Oryzias latipes: one gene and its partner. The protein of the gene in region 1 interacts with the protein of each later gene in a pairwise test. Links are inferred from orthologs where the notes say so. Each region holds a gene or a part of one and is shown in the gene's direction. Other genes may lie near its edges.

Evidence for each region.
Region 2: the proteins of srf (region 1) and elk4 interact in a two-hybrid assay, tested with the Homo sapiens proteins (2 studies listed by BioGRID and IntAct). The link is inferred for Oryzias latipes from reciprocal best matches to the Homo sapiens genes SRF and ELK4.

Annotation. Positions count from the first base shown.
Region 1 is NC_019873.2:29,042,335-29,046,673, forward strand, and holds the start of srf (serum response factor), read left to right. Parts: upstream 1-1,403; 5' UTR 1,404-1,749; coding exon 1,750-2,379; intron 2,380-4,254; coding exon 4,255-4,339. UniProt on the Homo sapiens protein: SRF is a transcription factor that binds to the serum response element (SRE), a short sequence of dyad symmetry located 300 bp to the 5' of the site of transcription initiation of some genes (such as FOS).
Region 2 is NC_019863.2:24,090,707-24,094,524, reverse strand, and holds part of elk4 (ETS domain-containing protein Elk-4), read left to right. Parts: coding exon 1-602; intron 603-3,319; coding exon 3,320-3,559; intron 3,560-3,818. UniProt on the Homo sapiens protein: Involved in both transcriptional activation and repression. Interaction with SIRT7 leads to recruitment and stabilization of SIRT7 at promoters, followed by deacetylation of histone H3 at 'Lys-18' (H3K18Ac) and subsequent transcription repression.

The DNA of each region.
Region 1 (4,339 bases):
GTGGAATTTCATAAATATTTGCCAGATAAGTTTTCAGTCATTCTTGATTATTTCTAAATCCATCCATCGTTGAGGGAAACTAGTAGCTCTTGGGCCCGTTTTGATCTTGTTTTTAAACTTTTTAAACCTATTTTTAAAAAGAAAGTTCTTTATGCTCATGTTTAAACTAATGTAGTTTCCTGTTGACTTCCATGACAAGTTTAACCTGACATATATACATATATGCACACCGTGATGATGACGATGGATTTATCCTTTAATTTCTTAGTTTGAGCTCAGATTTGTCTTTTTTTTTTTTTGATGGAACATAACTTTACTTTTTCTAAATTCCATTTTTGAAATCTTTGAAGTTCTGCTCATCATCTTCTGCCCTATTTTCAAAGTCTTCCTAGTGGCCTTTTAAAAGTGATGATGCCGTTTTTAGCCTAAAACAAATCTGTGTCGTCTTCCACCGAGGCTGTTAATGTGGAGCCACCCCGCCCCCTTTCCCATCACTGTTCTGAAAGCCTAGACCAGCTTGTGACCACCCAGCATATTTATGAATCCTTTTCAAACAGCATCTTTTCTTCTGCTCCTGATTCACAGCGATTTGAACAAAGAAATGAAATGTCAATTAGAAAAAAGCCACATTTTTTTGGGGGGGGGGGGGGGGTTCTTTAGGTTGGGTGGTGTTGGGCTGTAGCTGCTCCAGATTTGGCTGATTTAATAAAGTTTTTTTTTTTTTTTTTTTTAACAGGAACCTTTAGAATAAGAGGAATATGGTTTTGGACCAGTTTTGACCTTGAAGCTCTTTTCCATCCGTGACCTTTAGACTCAGTTTGGTGACCTCAGCTCATTGGTCCAGCCGTCATAATAAAGGTAGACCAACAGGTGAGTTTGAGGCCCGAGCAGACTGAAATAAATCACCACGCGCTTTTTGTTGTACTTTTTGTTTTTCACGTTATTTTATTGTTGGCTTGTAATGTTTTTTTTTCTACATTTGTGTTGATGGGGACAAATGTTTGAATTACAAACTGCGTAACAAAAAACTCAAATAATCTGTAACGGAAAACTTTGTGTTTTTGTTGCGCTTTTCGGCGACATGAGCGTTGACTGTGACGTTGACATCACTGCAACCATTTTGGTATTTATTCAAATGAGCTTCTATTATCGTCCAATCACTGCTTTAGTCAGATAATCTTCAACCAATCAGCAGGCGACGTTGTGACTCACCAAATAAGGAGAGACAGCACCATATAAGGAAACGTTGTATCTCTTTATAAGGAGGAAAGTAGTTCCCTGGCTCTCGTATCACTCCGCCGTGGCGATAACTTTTTAAAATGCGGGATCATTTTATGCATTTCTGATCCACGTAAACTAAATAATGTAAATAAAGCGACGCCTTCACGTTTTCGCGTGAGTACATAGGGTGTTATATTCGGCCTTTTTTTTTTTGCTCACACGGCGAACTATGTGACGCAGCGGAGTCATATCGACGGAGCTGTTCGCGCTTTCCTTTTTGAGAAAGTACGGAGAGTTTTGGAAATAGAGGAGGAGTGTGGACCGAACGGAGCCGGGTTCGCGGGTCCGGGGGCAGCGTCACTCTCAAAGTCTGGGTCACTAATGTCTCGTAGCGTCCAAATCAACTGAGCGCTTTGTTTACATTGCGTGGCCCCGGCGCGTGCGGTATATATCAGGAGGCACTCACGCAACGCCACGCTCCAGCTTCTCCAGCTGGTGTCTCGGGACTCGGTCGGTCACCTAAATATAATGTTACCCAGCCAGGCTGGATCGGTACCATCTGGAAACGGGTCCGCGTCCGGCAAGGGCAGCACCGGTCACAGTTCGGGGGTTGTCGGCGGCGGGATTCGCCCCGTCCTGGTCCGACCGGGGCTAAGCGACGGCGCGGGCGCTGCGGGGCGACACGCCGGGGACAGGGACGCGGTTGGGATGCTCGGAGCCAACGGTCCAGGCGGCTCGAGGGCCGCGAGACCGGGAAACGGGACCGGAGGGAACCCCCTGCAGGCTGCCGTACCGGGACACATGGTGGGGCTGAACGCGGGCGTCGTGCTGCCCATGGGGGCCCGGTTCGACCCGGAGCGGGTGTGCAGCGGCTCCGACAACGACTCTGAGTCCGGGGACGACGACGACCCGGTGGGGTCACTCGGGGACAGCAGGAGAGGGGTGAAGCGGGAGAGGGGGGAGATGATGGAGGCTGCGGCGGCGGGGCAGGAGGCGGGAGTCACCCCCGGAGATTACGGCATGGTGTCCGGGGGAGTCGCCGGGGCAAAGCCCGGGAAGAAGACCCGGGGGCGCGTGAAGATTAAGATGGAGTTTATAGACAACAAGTTACGGAGGTACACGACCTTCAGCAAGAGGAAGACGGGCATCATGAAGAAGGTGAGTGTGTGAGGCGCGTGCACGCTCATTGATTGATTAAGATGATTGGTTCATTGATTTGTGAGCTGACAGCTCCCTCAGAGGAGGAAAGCATGTCCAGAGTTTGGGTCTGGAAGTTCTGACATCCTCCTCAGAGGATGCAGGATCCCGGTTCTGCTTGTGACGAAGTTCACCCCACATAACTGTATGCAGCTGCATGCATGCATGCATGGAGCTGCATGCATGCATGCATGCATGGAGCTGCATGCATGCATGCATGCATGTATGCAGCTGCCACATGGCTTGCAGGCCTGCATGTGCCAACAGCTGACTAAACCCCCGGGAACCGGACCAGACGATTGCACAGACCACCGTATGGTGCACCCAGAACCAGGAGCAGAACCTCATTGAATACTCATGTTTGGTTCTTCTGCACACGGAACCGCTCTCTTAAAAACCCGATCACACAGAAATATTCTGCTGATCATCTGAAGGTCATTAGGAGCCAGATTTCATAAAAACTCCTCTTTTTTTCAGTGTGTTTTTATTTCCACAGCACCATCTAAACTGTTGTGTTTTGATGCATCCCAGACTGTTGTCGTGGAAACTGTGGTGTCTTCATGTGGGCTTTTGGCAACAATGAGGGGATGGAGATTTCTGTTGCCCACACTCCGTCAGCCCTGACAGGAGCTGACAGGTGGGTGGAGTGGGACGACTCATCGTAGCTCTGAACTTTCATTTTGACGGATCCACGTGATGCTGGAGGTTCTGTTCCTGGTCCGTAGGTGGTTCCTTCTCATGGACGTTTTGGTTTCTCCTCGGCGGCGAGCGGTGGAGTCGTTCGTGGTGAACGCCGTGTCGTTTACAGGGAGCAGGGATCTGCCGCTGGTTTTCAGTGGCCCCCAACACGGCCTGAGATAAAGTGATGGTTCGGGCTCCTGAGTTCTTTTGCTAGGACGTTTCGAGTCTTTTTGGACCCGGATGAGGCCTAAGAAAACAGCAAAGAGCCAAAGTTTTTATTTGAACTTCTTTACGTCTGTTGATGCATATATGGATCAAACCACTTTGGCTCCAAAATAACTTTATTGAGCATCAGCCTGAGAACAGCTGGCATGAATACAGGCGTTAAAGGGTTAACATATGCCTGTTATTGTACGGCAATTCTCGTTAATGGCTCCGCTTTAGTTGTGCCAAAGGAACCAATCAGGCGGAGACAGCAGCCCCCCACCCCCACCTGCAGCTACTCATATTTATGTGAAAATTGGCAGAGCGAGGAGCCCTATTAAAGGCCGCCGTCCACGCTCAGGTTGACAAATGAGTCCGTTTTTCCAGGCTGGACGTTGGCCAGACTCGGCGGTGTTGTTGAAGCGGCGCCGCGGTAGGCAGCGAGGGGAGGTGAGCGTGGAGTCACGGCGAGGAGCAGAGGGGCTGGACGATTGCTGCTCTCCACCGCTACTCTGAAGCTTTCGCCGGTTTTACAACGGCTCCATAAAGTTCTCAAATTTGAATTTGATTTGCGAGTTCTGGGGCGACGCCCCCGCCGGCGTGTGCTGAGGGGGATGGCGGCCTTCCCTGACGGTGACGGGAGCATCTTCAGGATGAGCGATGACTCTGAGGGGAGTTCAGGCTGAGTGCAGCCGTTTGGTCGGATGTGTGTGTTGGATGCAGTCTGAGTCCAAGCATCTGCTGGAAGCCATTCCTCCGTCCTCCTCGCTGGAGGGACGAGCTTCTCCTGGACTCGAACCTTTATCTTCTGCTATTTTGGTCTCTGTGGTGAAATGCATCACTTTTATTTCTGGATTTTTCTGCAGGTTGGAGTTCTGACGTTCCCGTTGAGATGTTTGAGGGCCGCGTTTCCGCTCCGGTCTTCATGTTGTGTTGTCGGTCTCGTTCCAGGCGTATGAACTGTCCACCCTCACAGGAACCCAGGTTCTGCTGCTGGTGGCCAGTGAAACGGGTCACGTCTACACCTTTGCCACCC
Region 2 (3,818 bases), on another chromosome or scaffold:
GCCTGCAGGAGGCGGAGCTCGCCGACAGATCCAGGGTGGCGGCAGCAGCAGCAGCAGCTCTGGGCGCCAGCAGCAAGCAGTCCAACCGCAACGACTACATCCACTCGGGCCTGTACACCTCCTTCCACCTCAACTCCCTGCAGAACAGGCCCCAGCTCTTCAAGTCCATTAAAATGGAGAACCCGGCAGAGAAGATGGAGAAGAGGCTGCTTGCTGTCACCTCGCAGGGACAGGAGTGTCAGCCGCTGCAGCAACAGTCTCCACCTCTGTCGTCAGTCATCAAGTTTGGAAACAGCCCCCCGAAGCCGGCGCCGCTTCCTCCTCAGGTTGCCACAGAACCCGGCTTGATGCCCAACAGCTCAGATCCTTTGCAAGCGCCGCCTCCAAGGGACGAAGACGCCGCCACACACTCCTCCCTGCAGCACCAGCCCGTCTACTCCTTCGAAAGCAGCCGCCAGTCGGAACCGGCCTTCGGCTTGGCGGACATGAGCTCTGCCAGCGCGTCCCCGAACCTCGTGCAGGATTCCTCAGAGGAGCTGGTGATCCTGAGCGACATGGAGGTGAACTCCTCCCAGCCTGAAGATCCCACAGAACAGGACAAGGTACACGCCACGGAAACGTGGCTCCACCCCCTTCTTTTACGTCATCTGTCACATCTGTTTTTAAAGCGAAAAAAGATAAAGAATTCGCTCATCTGCAGATCGTTTAGTTCTGAAATTCAGCTCACAAGTCATTTAAAGTTTCTTTAAATAGCTGACACTGAAACGCACCACGTAGCCTTTAAAAAAAATCTGTAGAAAAAATTGGGAGAGATTAGATTAGAAAAGTTTACACTAATCTAAATTTTCATTAAAAAAAGCAAAAAATTTTCATCAAAATCAAATCTATGATATGAACTTTGCTTTAAAGCAGTTTCTCTTGTTTTGGGGGGGCAAAAATGATTTTCTAAAATATTGTACAAAATTATATTAATATTAGGGCTGGGCGATATAGAAATTTTTATATTATACAATATAGTTTTTTCTTTCATATCAGGCAATAACGATATATCACGATATAATCCAAATAACTATTTTTGTCATATTTGAAAACTGCTGCTCCTAGGAGAAACATGTTATCATCAGCCGGTTGTTTAGATTTAAATATTGATTTCCAATCATACTTTCAACAGAACACTGAAGGAACACAAGTAAAACAAAAGCTTCAAAAGAGAACATAAACAGATCGCTAAACTGTTTGATCTGCTCCATTTAAAAACAAAGCATTAAATCAAGTTTTACTCAAACATAACATTGACAAACATTTTTGTTGACATACTGTAAATAACCCTTGTGCTATCCTAGGCACTTTAACATTGGGAGTTGGGTCATCTAGACCCACTAGACAGTGAGCTAAACCTTTTTTCTTGAATGATTTGTGATCCTCACTGGTGTCCATGGATTACATGAAATCTTTCCACCTTTATCCACCTTTGTCATGGTAGGGAGAACACGTCAAGGTAAGGGTGGGGTCATCTGGACCCCATAGGATAGCACAAGGGATAAGCTAAGAACTAAAAGCAAATTCTCAGAATTTCTTCTCGTAGTAAAATACTTAACACTTTTTATTAATCGGTCTGTTGCTGCTGTAAGTGAAGCAGCTCCAGTTCTGACTTAAAAACCGCCGCATGTTCCGCTGTTTCATCAGCTTAAACTTAGTGCTCCACGCAGGTGAAGTGACCGCGGATGGGACGGATTTCTCACATGCGTTTGTTTATCTCGCGTGGAACCCATGGAATAAAGCTGAAAGTCTGCACTTCAATGTTATCTGAGTTGTTTTCTTAAAAATTCACTGTGGTAATGTACAGAAACTAAATTAGAGAGAATGTGTCTCTGTCCAAATATTTATGGTCCTGACTGTATGTTTGGCCTCCTCACCCACTGTCCGTACCATTAAAAAAAGAACAATTATGCATATCTCATATTATTTTTATGCAAATGGAACATTCATCCAAATCTACCAATTATATCTACCAATGTCTACCAATGAGGTCAAACAATACATGAACACAATATAGAATTCTGACAATAAGAAAGCGATGAAAACACTTGATCTGTGTGTCAGTGTTAATGTCTTTGTGTAACATGTAATCATAACCCCCTGGCATGTTCTTTTCCTGTATTGCACTGTATTGTATTGGATCGTTGTGAGTAATAAAGTTCTTGTTAAAAAAACAGAGAACTTCACTGAAGTAGCTTCAACAATCAAGTTATCTAGTAAATATAGTAAACTATCAACTACAAAAAAAATTCTTAACCATTAAGAAGTAAAAATAGAAAAAAGAAATTATTAACCATTTACTAGAGTTTTCTATTAACTACTAAAAATAGTTAACAACATGATCATACCTGATTTCTGATCAAATGATCAGATAACTCTAATATAAATCTAAGTGTATTTAAATGCTGTTCAATCTGGAAGCTGCACGTGTGAGTTAGAGGTGGAAGGATTTATTTTAACAAGGACTGTTGTTACCGAACTAACTGAACTAAAACCAATCCAGGACATCTTCAGCCGATACTTTAATCAGGGTGACTGAGAGATAAACAGCTGTGTACTGAACAGAGCAGCTGAAGTTTTCCAGATTCTTTCTATTTCTGGCATGATAATCAAGTGTAAATTAAATACATGAACAAGCAAATGAGTAAACAAGAATTAATGACAAATCAATTTACATTTTAGTTTCCTAAAGTTCAGCACAGTTGTTCTTCCACATCCAAATAATCCATTTTTGGAACATTCTACCAAACTGTTATGGCCGCATGTCTTTGCTAAATTCAAAGTCTTTCCACACATTAGACTGGAGTGATGGATTTGTGATCAGTTTTTGCTGACATCACATGTGAGTTGTCTGCTGTGATGCACTTGGTTATTTTTACATTACAGTAAAATAAACCTACCTTGTCTCAATCTAAATGGTATTTGATAATATCGATAAAATTGCTTTCTTTGATTTAAAATGATTTCTAAATCATTTCTGTCAATTCAATTCAATTCGATTAACAACTTGCCTCAGACAGATTAAATCAATTCAGTGATTGTTACAACTCCTAGTGTGAATCCAGATCTAATGGATTGTTTAAGTCTCAATGTTTTTATTGCCCAGCAGGACGTTAGAGATGCAGTTGCTGCTGCTGCAGCTGGAACAGCCTGTTTGGAGGCTTATCGCAGGCTATCTTTACCTGACATGCGATTCAGTTTAATGATCTGAAGACTTTAAAGTAATCCAGAGTGTTTCCCCGACCCCAAGAAAGTAAAGCAGCATTTTTGGTTTTGTCAGGTGGATGGCGGCGGCGCTCAGCCCGGAGACGAGATCAACTTGGTGGACGCGGAGACCAGCTCGTCGTCGGCGAGCAGCAGCACCGCAGCCAGCAATCAGAGCTCCGGGAAGACGCGCAAGCCTCCCAGAGTCCTGCAGATCAGCCCGCCTACTCTGCTGGTCACCGCCTCGGACTTCTCCCCCATGAACAACTGCAGCCCGTCGCTCCCCACCCCCTCTCTCACGCCCGCCATGCTGCAGGTGAGTTCTGCCTGTGAGCAGCAGCAGGAAGCTCCGCCCACACGAGTCAGGGACACATTAGAGTCAGGATGACAACAGAATAAAAACAAAGGTACAGTCAGATCGCAGCCGGACAGGTAAACCCCTCCCCCCCATAACGGGATGCGGTCTGACCAAGGCTTTAGCTGTGGCTTCAACAAACGAAGAGTTAGTGAAAAAACAGCTTTTCTAAATATCTGACGATCATTTTTAGGAAAGCTGTCATCACCCTCCATGTTTT